Linked DNA regions of Tamandua tetradactyla. The protein of the gene in region 1 purifies or fractionates together with the protein of each later gene. This does not show direct contact. Links are inferred from orthologs where the notes say so. Each region holds a gene or a part of one and is shown on either strand. Other genes may lie near its edges.

Evidence for each region.
Region 2: the proteins of PPP6R1 (region 1) and ANKRD44 purify together in Homo sapiens (co-immunoprecipitation; 5 studies listed by BioGRID and IntAct, counting the BioPlex papers as one, with this or other methods). This does not show direct contact. The link is inferred for Tamandua tetradactyla from reciprocal best matches to the Homo sapiens genes PPP6R1 and ANKRD44.

The regions. Positions count from the first base shown.
Region 1 is NC_135342.1:4,459,287-4,467,126, forward strand, and holds the start of PPP6R1 (serine/threonine-protein phosphatase 6 regulatory subunit 1), read left to right. Parts: upstream 1-4,742; 5' UTR 4,743-5,123; coding exon 5,124-5,183; intron 5,184-5,382; exon of another isoform or gene 5,383-5,531; intron 5,532-5,867; exon of another isoform or gene 5,868-5,943; coding exon of another isoform or gene 5,944-5,949; intron 5,950-7,840. Other genes in the region: HSPBP1 (hsp70-binding protein 1), read left to right, coding at 448-522. UniProt on the Homo sapiens protein: Regulatory subunit of protein phosphatase 6 (PP6). May function as a scaffolding PP6 subunit. Involved in the PP6-mediated dephosphorylation of NFKBIE opposing its degradation in response to TNF-alpha.
Region 2 is NC_135329.1:171,505,706-171,513,030, reverse strand, and holds the start of ANKRD44 (serine/threonine-protein phosphatase 6 regulatory ankyrin repeat subunit B), read left to right. Parts: upstream 1-4,277; 5' UTR 4,278-4,500; coding exon 4,501-4,527; intron 4,528-7,325. UniProt on the Homo sapiens protein: Putative regulatory subunit of protein phosphatase 6 (PP6) that may be involved in the recognition of phosphoprotein substrates.

The DNA.
Region 1 (7,840 bases):
GTAAGTAATGGGTTAAATGTGTTGTACAATTGTACTACTTCATGAAATCTTATTTATATCTGTAGTGTTAATCGTAACCTGTGTTGTGGCATCTTTTTGCCATGCAGATGCTTTTAGGTGTTTCCTTGCTTTCTGGGTCCTGTTATCAGCCACGGGAGGGCTTTGAGCAGGGAGTGATGGGGTCATATCTAGGAGTTAGAAGGAGCCAAGGGGGCTGATGTGGGGTGAGGGGACAGGAGACTGGAAGACCTCCCAGGTGAGTTCAGCAGCCCAGAGGGAGGCGAGGGAGAAACTGTGAGCTGAGGATCACACACCAGAGGGGCCGGGTGGGGTGGGGAGTGTGGGCGGGCTGGTGGCTGGGAGGGGAGACGCCTGTGGGTGTAGAGCTTGCTGCAGGCAGGGTCTGGCCTCTGCACTCAGAGCCTTCTGCTCTCACCCCTGATCCAGGAGGAGCTGGAATTCTGTGAAAAGCTGCTACAGGTCTGTTTTTCAACCCCAACGGACGACAGCATGGATCGGTGAAAACGTGGTGGCCCCCTTCCACATGGGAGCCCAGGCCTCCTGCTTCCCTCCCCATCCCGGGGCCCTCTCCCAAGAGAGAGCAGGGCCCTTATGGGGGGGAGGGGGCTGAGCCTGGGGCTGTCAGCCTGTCTCTGCTCAGCCCCCTGGAGGGGTGCTGAGAAAGGACCGGGCTCCAGGGGCCCCACCTCCTGCTTTCAGGCTCATCCCCCCCACCCCGAGCCTCTTGTCCACACTGCTCTTCCAGCAGAGACGGGGCTCCTCTCCCACTGCCACTTTGTCACCTCCTCTGGGTGCGTAGTGGTGGAGGGGCGAGGTGCGGGCCGGGGCCTGAGAGACTGGGGAGGGAGGGGAGGAAGGCCGCCTCGGGAGCTTGGGGTAATAAAACTCTTACTCCTACCACCCACAGAGCCATTGCCTCACTTCACCTTTCCAGCCTCTCTGGGATGGGGTGCAGGCACATCTAACCTTCTCCCTGCCCCCCAACTTCTCTGAATTCTCTTATGTTTCGGGAATTCCCACCTTCGGCTTCCAGGCCTCCTAAGGTCAGGTGTTTTTTCCCCCAGCATCAGAGCCTCCTGTACAGGTCTGCCGCCGGCAGCTGCTGCCTGGAAAGGACGCTTGTCCAGAGTCCACGGCCCTTGAGGCAGGGTGGAGGGGCGGGCAGTCGAGTCCCTGCCCAGGCCCCCCGTGGAGGCAAGGCTGCTGCGTGTCCCAGCTGCAAAGTGCCAAGCCCAACTCCACCTGCTCTGAGATCTGGGGGTCTGTCTGCCTTTTCTGTTTGCCTAAAGTAGGTTTCTGTTGATGCAACTAAGGGCCCTGCTGCAGGAAGCAGAGTCCGAGAATCTTGCATCCAGGATTCCAACCTAGGACTCATCCCAAAGCCCTGCTCCTCCCCAGTGCCCTCGCTTCCTGGCCCCATCTGATGCCAGGTCATTACTTTTGCATATACAGCACTTGCCTCATACTTTTGGGATTTTAGAGGGCTTAGTTAATTTCAGTTCTCTTCCATTCTCAAATTCAGAACAAATCGAGGCAGCTGTGGGAACAGAGAGTTGGAGATCCAATGTCATCTCGTTTATTTTTGAGCCATTTACATCATAGCTGAGGAGTGTTGCTTCTACTCTGCACCAGCATTAGACCAGCACTTCTGCCTCAGGCAGCCCTGGGCAAGCAGCAGCCTTCCCATGGGTGGCAGAGTGGAGGCCAGGGGACAGGAGTTCTGGGGCCAGCCTGTCTCCAAGAGGACAGGAAGTTGGAGGGCTGACCCCAGCCTGGGGGGGAGGGGGGCAGAGACATGCCAGGAGAGAGCCACTGGTGGGGGGTCCCCCACACCGAGCCCTGGGCTCTTTTGTTGTTTTAAAAGTTCCCTCCAATTCTTAGGCAAATAACATCTTCCTGTGAGTTCTGACAGGAGCTGAGACCCAGATTTCAGACAGTAAAGCCCCTGGAGCTTCCTGGGTTGGGCAGACTCGGTGCCTCAGCATCTGTTTGGTGGTTGAATATGGCCTGAGCCTGGGTGTTAAAACTGTGGCAACTGTGTAATCATATGTAGGGAAAAAAGCAAGGAAAATGATAGGTAAAAGACAGAAGAGTGCAACACAAAAGAAAAAATGATTCAAAGGACAGAAGGAATTTCTTCACAATTGCTTCAAGAGTGTAGCAATCAGAACATGGGTCTATTGAAACAAGGCCTTTAAAATATTTTTAAAAAAAGATGAAAAAAGGAACAATGGCAAACCCAAGGAAGTAAACTAAAGTTCTGGTAAGTTAGATTTTTCACCAGAGATTCACCCCCTCCCCTCCCACCTTCGTGGGAAAAGTACATTCCCTGCCTATGGCACGTGGAGCCCACCAGCCCATACTTCTTGGGCTTGGCCAGGTGATTTGCTTTGATCAGTGATGGTGGCAGATGTGAGGCAAAGGGAGATGTGAAATGTGCTTCCAGCTGGGCTTGATCTCTTGGGCTCCTGCCTCTCCTGAAAAGGAACCTTGGACAGCCCTTTGGTCCCATCTGTGAATGTAATAAATACCACCAAGGTTGTGGTTGTCATGCAGCGTTAGCTAACTAATACAAGGAGAAAACAACATCATGTGTGATAAACATACCAGAAATAGCAAGGACCAAAGGGGACATGGCTGGAAAGTCAAATGACAGAACCAGAGAGGTGGCAATGTGAGAAGAACTGAGCCCAACATCTCTGATTTTGAAGATGGGGGTGGGGCTTCAACCCAAGGAATGCAGGTGGCTTTTGGAACCCGGAGAAGGCCAGGAGGTGGATTCTCCCCCAAAGCCTCAAGTAGGGAATGCGCCCTGCGGTCACCTCGAGTCACTGGAGACCCATGGTGGACTTCTGAGCTCCAGAACGTAAGATAATAAATGTTATTTTAAACCACTTTAAAAAAAAGCAAAACAAAGGACTGACATAGTAGTGACAGTGAAGGCAGATGAAAATGACAAAGATTAAAGCAATTACCAGCTAACGCGTGTGAAATACAAATGCATAACCGGCATTCTTGAAAAAAAAACGAAAAACTGAATCAATAACTAAAATGCATAAAATACAAAAAATGTCCCCAAAATGCAGATTTATAGAAAAGGGTTAAGTCCTTAAGTGCATTTATTCATTTGATGCTTACAGTGAGCTGCTAAGTGGGCAGGACGGGGCTAATTGTCTCTATTACAACTGGGGAAACTGAGGCTCGGAGCCAGACAGGACCTTAAAGGACACTGACCCTAAGCCTAGGAGGCCCGCGCAGTCGATGTTGCTCCAGAAGTCTTTGCAGCAGCGGGCAACAGCCAGGCACCGCCTGGACCGAGGCGCGGCGGCGGCGGGTGGAGGCCATGAGGGAACACCCGGAGTGGATTTCCCGGCAGAAGACCGAGAAAGGTGAAGGGGCTTCCCAATGGAGCCGGAGGGAAGAGAAAACCCGGAACAGGGTTTCCACTGGATTTCGGAATGAAGTCGTAGAACTGGCTCCCGGAAGGGCAGCGGCGCCTGCGCATTCCTCCGTCTGGGTTGACTTGGGGAGAGACAGTTGGCACGAGCCGGCGCAGGCGCAGGCGCAGATCCAAAGCCCCGGCTTAAGGAAGCGCAGGCAGTCGCGACGGTGTTCCGGGTGGGCGGGGTAGGGGAGCCGGGGCCTCGCGCGCACGCGGGCTGCAGGATCCGCCCGCGCTGCCCCGCCGCACCTGCGCACCGAGAGGGCCGCGGGCAGGCGGGGCGTCCTGCGCGCTCCGGCGCAGGGGATTGTGGGATCGTGGCGTCGGGCGTCGGAGGCCTGAGGCGGACAGTAGGCTCCCGGGACCCGTCGGTTTGGGGAAGGGGCGGCTGAAGGAAGCGGGCCTGGGCTTCCGCTGGCCGCTGCTCGGCTCTGCGGCTTGTAGGGACTCCGGAGGGCGACGTTTTCCCCGCCCGCCCTCTTCGTTTCCGCGGGGCGCCGGCCTGGGCCGGGGAGACCGGAGCGACTGGGGCGACTTCCCCCGCGCCCCGCCGAGGCCCCTGCGCGGGTCCTCGCGGCCCGGCCAACCCCCCGCCCCGCGCCCTCGACCCCCGCGTCCTTCCCCCTCGCCTGCGCTCAGCCCGCAACTCTGCGGCGCTCGGCGCGCGGGGTCCCCCTTTGACCCGAGGGTGCCTGCGCGAGACCCCGACGTCGCCCCCCGCCCCCACATACCGGGCCCCTGAGCGGGGGCCGGAGCCGCCGGCGGCGGGGCGAGGGGGGCGCCCCGATGAGCCCCGAGTGCGAGGAGCCGCCGCCCCCCCACGCAGGTGAGCCGGCCCAGCCCGGGACCTTTTTCCAGAGCCCAGTCCACCCCCAGGACCCCCTCGAGCCCCACCTAAGTACCCTTCGCGGGTCCCAGTCTTCTCCCTTTCGGGTCCACCCCCACCTTTGTTCCCTGGAATCCTTCCCTCTTCCCCTGGACGCCTCCTCATCACTTCCCCCCCCAAGTCTAGAGAGTAGCCTCGGCCTACCCGCCACTCTCTTCCACCTTTGGCTTTACCCCGGCAGTCTCTTTCTCCTCGCTCCTCCCCTTCCCCCCAAGAGTCCCTCCGTTTTGCACCTTCATCTGTTATTACGGTGTTTTTCTTCTCAGTCCCCTCTTCCCCCTTCCCCCCTCATCTCTTCCTCCTGCCCCCCATCTCTGCCTTACCCCCACCCTTCCCTGTTTCCTGCCTTCTTGGACTCGTTTGCCCTCTGCCTGACCCTTGGGTTGGGGAGATAGGGGAACGGGGGTTTCCCTTCTCCCTTCCTGTGGGTCCGCTGCCCCTGGCTGCCTCTGGCTTCTCCTTGGGAGGAGAGGTTTAGGACCTGGGATTGTCTGGAGGTGTCCAAGTCCTGGTTCCAAGTCTGTGAGACGAGGCCTGCCGAGGGCAGGGCAGGTGCTTCATGCTGGGCACAGAGGGAGGTATCCTGCCCAGCCCTGCCCTGGAGGGGGCTGTGTCCCTGGGGAGATACAGGCAGAGCTGGACAGTCACAATTGCTATGAGGTATTGAGATAGAGGTAACTCAGGGTGCCGCAGGAGGCTGAGAAGATTGGGGACCGGGAGACTGGCGGGGCCGGTGGCTCTCTCTATCTAGGAAGGATGAGTTGGAGTTGACAGATGGAGAGTGGGAGGAAGGGCATTCCTGGTGGAAGGAACAGCGTGTGCAGATATGTGAAGGTGGGCAAGTTGGGGGTTCAGCACTGGGCGGCTCCACTGGAGTGCAGACGTGTTGGGAGGGAGTGGTCAAAGCTGGAGCCTTGAGTGGGACTTTCTGTGTAGGGGTGTTTCTGGCTAGCTCTTTTACACACATACGTGTGTGTAGATACATATACACACAGACACGTGCACATACATACACACATGCATTTACACACAGACACGCACTGAACATCTGCACTGAGGACACAGTCGTTGCCCTGACACTGGCCCAAAAAGCAAGATGTTTCTGGAAAGGAAGATGCTTTCAGATGTGGTATAGTGGGTTCAGAGCTGTGAAGACTCCGCGGGGAGTTTGTCCAACTCCAGGTAAGGTTCAGATCACCAGCACACAGGGTGAACATTGCAGTGACTCACAGTTGCCTGGAAAATCCAGCCTGTGTGGTTTACATCCATATTCTGTAGAATACTGTACCCAGGTCTCAGAGGCCACCACACCCAGAGACAGACACTGAGGGGAATGGCAGTGGGAATTGGTTGCATTTTAAAAAAGTTATGCTCTGTTTTTTTGTTTTTTAATTTTTTCCTAATGTGCATCATTTTGTGTCTGTTAAATGAGGCCATGTGACTCGATTTTGGGTGTTTTATGGCACCTTTGGGAGGCAGTGAAGGCCATTGGTTTAGAGCGAGATGTTTTTTCATCAGACCTAGGTTTGAGTCCCAGCTCTGCTGTCTGGTGGTGAGACCTTGGACAAGTTACTCAGGAGCTGTCATCTGGAGAATGGCGGTAACGGAGGGCCCTCCTCTCAGGGTTGTTCTGTGGATCAGTTCCATGTTTGTGGATGCCCTGGGCAGAATGCAGGGCCCAGTAAGTGAAAGGAATCCGGAGTTGTTAGGTTATTACATTTGCCTTGGCATCACCTATGGCATCTGTTCTCAGCTGGGGTCGCTCTACTCCTCTGGGGACACCTGGCCATACCTGGAGACGTTTGTTTGCCGCATGAGGGCGCTGTTGGCGCTGGTGGGTAGAAACCGGGAATGCTGCTCCCGTCCTGCAACGCACAGGATGACCCCCCAGCAAAGGAGCACTCAGCCCAAACGTCCCTGGGGCTCAGGTGCAGAGACCCTGAAGGCTGTTTGGATGGTGCTTGGTTCGGGCTGGACTGTCCTGTTGCTTCCAGTGAGTGGCTGTGTGGATGTGTGAATTCTTGTGTATTTTGATTTGCTTTTGTCTTTCTTTTTTCACTACCACCTAAAACATTTTATTTTTAAATGTATCTTAACTTTATTTTGAAATAATTTCAAATTTACAGAACAATTGCAAAAATAATACAAACGCTATACAGGAACTCCAGCATACCCCCCCACCCTCCAGATACCCAGATCTACCAATTTTAACATTTGGCCACCTTTGCCATATCATTCTGTTATCTCTCTCTCGATTATGTATCTATTCTCTGGATAGTTGAGATCAGGATTGCCCGCCTGCTCCTTGGATACATAAAACTGTCATGCGCATTTCCTAAGAACAAGGATGTTCACTTATGTAACCACCATAAGCGCAGTTATCCCATTCAAGAAACGTAAAACTGCTATAGAGCTTACGTTCTGTATTCCTTTTTTTGTCCTTACATCTCAGTGTCCTTTTGATCCTTTTTCTCCTCTGTTCTTAGATCCCATCCAGAATCATGTATTGCATTTAATTGTCATTATCTCTTTGGTTTAACTTTCTCTTTTTCTTAATTGTGGATATATATAACACACATAGATACCGTAGATCCTCCCATCCCAGCACACTGTAGAGTGTGAATAGTCACCTTCACAATGTTGCAGTACCTTCCCCTCCATCCATAACTGGACCTTCCTTTTCGCCTCAAACAGAAACCCTACACTCATTTTCCGTTAACTCCCCATTGCCTCTTCACCCTCCCCTGGTAAATTGTACTCTACTTTTTGTCTCTATGAGTTTGCATATTCTCTGATGTTTTCAGTGTGGTTATCGTGGGCTTAAATTTAACATCGTAAACCTGTAACTATCCTGTTTGCATTGACACCAGTTTAGCTTCAATAGTGTACACAGACTATGTTCCTATACCCCTCCATTCCCCCACCTTTATGTCATTTTGTCACAAATTACTTATTTATACATTGAGATCAAAACCATTGATTTATTAAACTTTAGGCATTTGGCTTTTAGATCCTGTAGGAAGTTAAAAGTGGAGTTACAAATAAAAAATAGAACAGTATTGGTGTTTCTAGTTACTTACCTCGTTACCCTCACAGGAGATTTTTATTTCTTCCTATGACTTCAGTCAGTTGTCTAGTGTCTTTTCCCCCAGTAGAATTCCCCTGTCTAGTATTGATGAAGTCCCTCAGCTTTTGTTTATCTGGGAATGTCTTAATTCCTCCTTCATTTTTTTTTTCACTTTTTAGATTGTATAGTATAAAATATATATAAAGCAAAAGAAAGAAAAAAGCAATAAGTTTTCAAAGCACTCTTCAACAAATAGTTACAGGACAGATTGCAGAGTTTGTCATGGGCTGCTATACGATCCTTTTTCCTTCTAGCTGCTCCAGTGTGTAGAGGAGGGCTTAAATATTTTTTTATCATCACAGTCGACTTTTTTTCCTTCTTTTTTGTGAAAAATAACATATATAAAACTATAAATTTCAAAGCA
Region 2 (7,325 bases), on another chromosome or scaffold:
CAAGGACCACTGGATTCCTCCAAGTCATACAACCTTACTATAGAGTACTCTTTTTCTCTTATTACTAATAAAAATTCTGGCCTTATAGTTTGCTCAGTAAATGGGTCAGAGTAAGACACGCATATGTGATATATACAGCTTTTCAAATCCAAAGAGGTCCAATATGTATCATGTCTCTTTTTCCATGGTAGTTGGCACAAAGCACAGCAATTTGTCTTTCATCTTGAAGGGGATTTCCTGACATCTTCCAGCCCTGGACTTCCAGAAACTTTACTGAAGGTGGTGAATTTTCTTGGGGTTTATAGCCTATCTTCTGGCTCACATGTATCTTGTTAAGGAATTTAACTATTTCCAATTCATTACTAATAGAACTTAATCAGGAAGCTGTCTTTAATATAGTGGTCAAGATTTCTGCAGACTAGATTATGGCAAAGAGAGTTTACATCCCATAGGCAAGACTGTGAATGTGTACTGTTGGCATTGTCATATGAAAGAAAATGGCTTGTGGTACAAATTGGAAAAGATAAAAAAGCATTTGCTACATAAATAGATACATACCAGTTACTTAGGGCTGTGTATATTTGCTGCAGTAAAGATAGTACACATAGAATAGCAGTTGCAGTTGGGGTTACCATCTGATAAATTTACAATAATTCATAGTTACTCTTTAAGATCCGTCTGCCTTTAGCATAGCTCAAACTGTGAGCTAAATGGGGATGTGATAGTATCACCAGCCCTGCATTTTCCACAACATTTATGGTCATACTGCTCTTTACATCCTTCCTGAGATGTGCTATTGCTTTTGATTTTCTGCTCCTGTAGAAAAAGGAAATTCCAGAGGCTTCTACTCAGCCTATAATACTGCCATAGTCTTCACGCTAAGGGTCAGAGAAGTAATATAGGGATTCTGCCAGTTATTATATCTATTCTAACTGTATAGTCAAGAAGTAAGGAAATAATTGCAGGGTGGCTCTGTGGACTGACTGGATCCTCTGTGAATTTGTCTTGGTTGAAAACTCCACTGATCACCTGACAGCCTGTTTTAGTTTCCTAGACTCCTTAAGTAATACCATGAAATGGGTCATGTTAAACAATGAGAATTATTTGCTCATGGTTTTGAGGCTGGGAAAATGTCAAATCAAGGCATCATAAGGTGGTGTTTTCTCCCAGAAGACTGACTTTCTGGGGCTGACTGCCACTGATTCTGGGGTTCTTAGCTTGTCACGTGGCAAGGCACATAGCATTGTTCCCTGGTCTCTTCCTTCTCTTCTGGGTTCCGTTTCAGCTTTTGCTTCCTGTAGCTTTCCCTTCTTCTGAATTTCATTCCATTTATGAGGACTCCAGTAATAGCATTAAGACCCATACTGATTGAGGTGGGTCATACCTTAAGTATACCTCATCAAAAGGTCCTACTTACAATGGTTTCACACCCACAGGAATGGATTAAATTTGAGAACATGTTTTCCTGGGATACATACAACTTCAAACCACCATACCACCATAAGTCTCCACTTTGATTGGTGGATCCAGTGACACTTGGATCCTCAGGAATGATCATGTAGTAAGTACCAGTGTCTAGTAGTCCCTGAAATACCTGGGTATTTCTTTTCCCCAGGACACAGTCACTCTAGTAAATTGTATCAGGTCCCTTTAGGGAAGGTTTGATGATGACTTATAATATATATTTATGGCACTGCTGTAACCAAGACAATAGGATTTAAGGGATGATTTTGATTACTAAGTCATTATATAGATATTCCTTTTTGCTTTCTGGTATACTAGAGTAGACAGAGGGAAATACCTGAAATCTCTGAATTGTAAACTAGCTGCCTTGATCTGGTAATGATTGTATAGCCTTTATCTTCTTTCCCTGTGATTGTACAAACCTTGTGACTAACCTTTATTTGTATCCATTTATCCAGTTTTTCAACTTTAGAGTCTTGTAATCACTATACCCCTAAGGTTTATTAATGAAGGGTCTTGGGTCAGTCCAGAACTAACCCACCCCAACCCCAAAGTTATCTTGATAACTGAGACTGGATGTAACCAAAGTGGGCCCCCTGACAATGTGCAGTAACTTAGATTTTAACTTACAAGTCACCTATACCTCATTATGATATTAAAAATCATGGCCATTATCATATTAAGGCCGCCGTTTTCTTACATATATTCTGTGACCAGGCATGTAATCAATCTGCACGTACTCAATAATTAGATCACCTCTAATTGCATCAGCTAGGGTGACTATGTACATTACCCTAAACCCTGCCCATCTTTTGATTCTAGAAAACTATCATAATTACTGCAGTTTGGAGAGACAGTTTTGGGCCAACAGGCCATCTGCTGTCCTGCTACGCACCTAGTACTAAACTTTTTCTCTCTTTGAAACTCCAGTGTCTCAGGACTTGGTCATTGAGGGTTTTAGGCAAAAGAATCCACCTCCTTTGTCTGGCAACAATGCCAATGCTGGAAAGACCTTCTTCAAGTGGACCAGTGTCCCCTTCTATTAAGGGGCTCTGTGTCCATGGACTGGCATAGGTATGAAAAATAGATGAGAAAGATGACTTTTCATTTTTGTTGGCTCAAGTCAGGTTTTAAGCCCCATACCTCAATTTCTTTACTGTTACAAAGATCAAGGAATAGCTCAGAAATCTGCCCATCATTTCATCATTGATGACAGGAGAGGGGAAGCCAGGAGAGTGCTTCCTCAGTTCCCCTGGTCTTCATGGTCTCAATCACATCTCATCAGACTAGTAAGAGTATATTTGTGACTTATCTGCTTTACCAATCTGAGTGGCTAGATGATAAATGGGAGGATACAAAGTGAATGTTCCCAGTCCCTTTTTCCCTTTCTCACATGGAATTTGGGGGGAGGCTCAGAAAGCAGGGAAGAAGAAACCTAAAGGGCAGAATACACACTTGGTCTTTGAATAAATGGTAGATGCACAGTCTTGACCCAGGAACTCTTAGGTCTGTTCAGTGGGTCAGTGCTGCTCTGTAGGCTTGCCCTGTGATGAGCTGTCAGAGGCACATGGGGCGGCCTGTGAGCAGAATCCCACCTTGAGTACTTAACACCTTCTCTTCCCAGAGATCTCAAGTCCTGTCACTTTCTTAGGGAAATCTGCCCTCTCCCACCAGTCTGGTCAGATTCACTTGAAAGGGTTCCTTCAGAAATATTTTTCCTCCCTGTGATCCCTTATCTCACTTTGTAATTACATTTATTAATGTAACCATGTGGCTTATGTTGGGCACCCAAGACACTAGGTGTCTTGTCTATTTATGTTCCTGTTTCTTTTTGTGCCCACCAAGGTACTTGGCCCAAGGTAGGCATTCGGTGCAAAGTTTATATAGCTGTTTGATAAATGTTTGCTTCAAATTCCAGAAGTATCAACACTTACTATGATGATAAATATCGTCATTGAATTTGTATCTGGTGCTGCTTGACAACTAAGTCTTCTATAGGTTGAAGAGGATGGTAATTTTGGATTTTGTGGAAATGCTTCAGTCAGGACTGGTGGAAACACCCTAAAGACTCCATAATTTATACCTCCTGTGCTTCTTCAGTAACTTCATTCCACCTTGACTCCCCGCAAAACAAACCCAGGGTGTTTGAACTTAACAGGGGTGTGTGTGCATGTGCGGTGCCTACCTGAAAGATGGCTGGAGAACAAGGTAAATTGCCAGAGCTTCTCTGCACCGCCCCCCCCCCCCCCAATGTTTGAGAAATACGGCACAGCTGACTTTCTCATTAAAAAATTACGCGTCCAGAGACCACGACCATCAAATAAAGAGAGCATCAGACTTGGGGACCTGACCGAGGTGGATAATTTGGAGTGCTCTCGGACAACCTGATTCCGGAGAGGCCTAAGTTAAATTTGGTGACGTGTGAGTGACAGCCTTTTTGTCTCCTGGTGTGTCCACATGGGCTTGTCCCTCAGGTGGTGCCTGTGTGTGTCTGACCGGACGAGAATGGACCCCAGATCAGTCCCAGGTCGCCGTGGGGGGGGGACCTCTAACCGTGAGCACCCTGGTCCGCGGGGGACCACGAGGGAGACCCCAGGGCCCTGGCCGGGCTCCGGGGCGCAGTGTGTGAGTGCGGAAAGCAGAGGCATCTCGGCCCCCCCGCGGAGCGCGGGGTGCAGGCGCCGGCGACTGCCTGGGACCGCCGGGGACCGCGGGGCTGCGAGGCGCGGCTGCGGGCAGCAGGAGGCAGCGTCGGCTCAGCCGGCGCGGCCGCGAGCGAGCCGGCGCGCGGTGATGTCAGTGGCGGCCCGGTACTTTCTGTATAAAGACGGGCGGGCTCCGCTGCAAACACCACTAGCCAGTGTCAGCCTCTCGGCGGGAGGAGGCGGCGGCGGAGGAGGAGCAGGGGGAGGGCTGTCAAATTCGGGAGCCAGATTTGTTTCCCTTCCCCTGGCAGTCCCTTCCGCTTCCCCGGCTCCAGGCTTGACATCTCGGGACCGGGGACCTGTATGTGTGTGTGCGCGAAGGAGCGGAAGAATGGCAGTGCTCAAACTCACCGACCAGGTAGGGGGCGGCGGCGCCGGCGGGCGGGACGCGCGGGCGCGGGGCGGCGCGGAGCCCTGGCTGGGGGATGGGGGCGCGGCGGGGAGCGCTCCCGCGAGCTGTTTACTCCCGGCTGAGGGGAGGAGTGCGTGCGGCCCGCGGGCTGTCTCCGAAACCCTGCGGCGGCGGCGGCTCTGCACCCCTGCGCCGCTCCCCACCCTGGGCGGTCGGAACTGCGCGCTGGGATCGCTGCCGGCCGCGCGCTCCGGGGCCGGGGAAGGAGCTCGGCGGGTGGACAGAGCCAGGGCGTGGGTGTGCGGAGTGCAGGGGGTGCGCGGAGTGTGTGCTTGGGGAGGGGGGGGGGTACTGTAAGCGGGCCTCGGCTGGGGGGGGGGGGGAGAGGGAGGGGTGGCTGGAGGTGCTACTAGGGCTCCAGCTGTGCTCTGCAGCGTGGGTCCCGCCAGCCGGTGCCTGTCGAGGGGAGGCTCGTCCGCGCATCCGGACGGAGGAAGGTAGAGGGAGAGGCAGCAAGGACCACAGCCTGGGACGCCTCCCGAGCCAAGCAGGGACTGACCCAGACCGCGTCTCTTGTGTAGCCAGGCTGTCTTTATTCGTTTGACATGACATCCTGACTTCCTCTTTAGCCACCCAGAGGCTGCGGGTGCTTGCGTGTGTACGCGATGGGGACCCTCGGAGACCGTGCTCTTGGCTCTGGCCGGTCTCTCCGGGAAGAGGAGAAGGTGAAGTCCGGTCAGGGACTACACTGGCAGGCGATGATCTACCCTCTATCAGTGTTCATCAGCTTTGTTGCTTTCCTCGCTGAAACACAGGGCAGCTCTGGAGTCCCGGCTTGGAAAGGTGGGGTTTGCTCAACCTGGGCCCTTCTCTTTTGGGCAAGTCTGTGGTATGGAAGCACCACACCTTTGTGAACTCTGTTACTATTAGGAAATTGACAGAGGCGTTCAAGTTGCATGACAAGATTTTGTAATTATTCCACGAGGAAAGAAAAAAAAAGCTTGCTTATTTCCCTCCCGACCACCATTTATTCACGCATAGGGAAATGAACACTGTTTTGGGGTCCTGGTAGGCGGAGAGGCAGTCTTGTCTTTGACACATGCGGTGCAACGTTCAAGCTCCTGGTATCATCAGACCTCTCAAACTTCCCTAGTGGGTGGCATGTGGTTAGTATCCAGACAGCATCTTGCTACTTAAATGGATTTACCCCAATGTTTTGCAATGATTTGTTTCTCTGCCTTTTAGATTCAAATTTTCAGTTTGGTTTCCCTAAGTATTTACAGGCTGTTGTAGGGGGTCGTGGGGAGTCACTGGATTAAACCCTATGTTATCGTTAAATTTAGCAGGCGAAGCAGCTGGTAATTGCCATTGGTTCCAAAGCATTTAAAAGTGTAAGTTGATATCAGGATTTCCCCTACCTTTTGGTCATGTACTTCGCCAACTGTTAGCTGTTTGCTTGTTTTAAATCTTCCAGTTTTAGTCTGACTTGGTTCTGTCATCTTTGCTTATACCCATTGCTGTACTTATCTGTCACTATCTAAATCTTCGAAGTAAAAAAAATGCTTCTAATAGGCATTGTTGTTATTCTCATGTGTGTGAAAGAATTTCTCATAGAATCTCGGAGGTGTAAGTCCTCCTACAGCTGTGCTGGCCCAGATGCGGGAACGGAGATCTGGAGAGGTGACTCCGGTTTTCTTCAAGGACCAGGGCAGTTGGCCTGTAGAGCCGGGACCAGGTCCTGTCTATTGGCTTCCAGGCTTTTGTGCTTTGGGCGATTGTAAGACACCTTCTGTCTTCTCTTTCGCTTGTTGAAAGCTTTGCAAAAAGGCATCCTCTCCCAAATCAAGATTGCAACTGATGAAAGTTATATTACAATAATTTTAGAAGGAAAGGGGGCAGGCCACGGTGTCTCAGCAGCAGAGTTCTCGCGTGCCAAGCCAGAGACCCAGGTTCGATTTCTGGTGCCTGCCCATGCAAAACAAACAAACAAGCAAAAAAACAAAGCATAGAAGGAAAGGTAGTTAGTTTTCAGGACTTAACAGAATAGGATTTTCAAAGATGTTTAAAAATGTTTCTGAATATATCCCTCCACAAACTAGATTATCCTGGAGAGAAAGTTGCACGAACTTGGTTTCATTTCACCTCTTGATGCATAGAAATATCCCTAAGAAGTTCTAGGATTCTAGAGCATCTGAACATTGCCACCTTCTCTAGGGCAAAGCCAGAGGGGATTGGGTGGGGAGGGTGGGGTGGATGGGGTGGGATCGAGGTTGAGTATCAGTGGTTTCTGTGTGGTTTTAGGTCCAGGAGGTGTGTGGTCTTTCTTGCCTTATATAGTCTTACTTTTTCAGTTTGAATTCTAAATTCTTAGAAGCTGGTTCTTAACCTCAGTGGAGGCTTAAAGTCTTTCTTAAACTTCTGCCAGAAGAGTCTTGCTCCATCATTGTGGGTAGAGAGCAGCCTGCTTGGAATTCCTGCCTTAGTTTGTGGAGGGAGTGCCCAGCTACCCGTTTAGCTATTTGTAAAATAATTGTTTTTAACTACTCCCTCATTTGTTTAATGAGGTGAATCTTGATTTTTACCCAGGCTCTTGGATTTTTGGCTTGAGGACATGACATATTCTTGCTGTTGATTACTTGAATCCCAAGTTGTCTTCGTTTGTCTTTAAGCATACCCAAAGTAAAGGGTGAAAGATGATGACATTTCCTGTTCTGCTGAAGTTAGGTGCAGGAGCTTTTCTGGTAATGGCAATCACTAGTTTAATAGTCAATTCTGCAATCACCTATCAGTCATGCAAGGAAAGG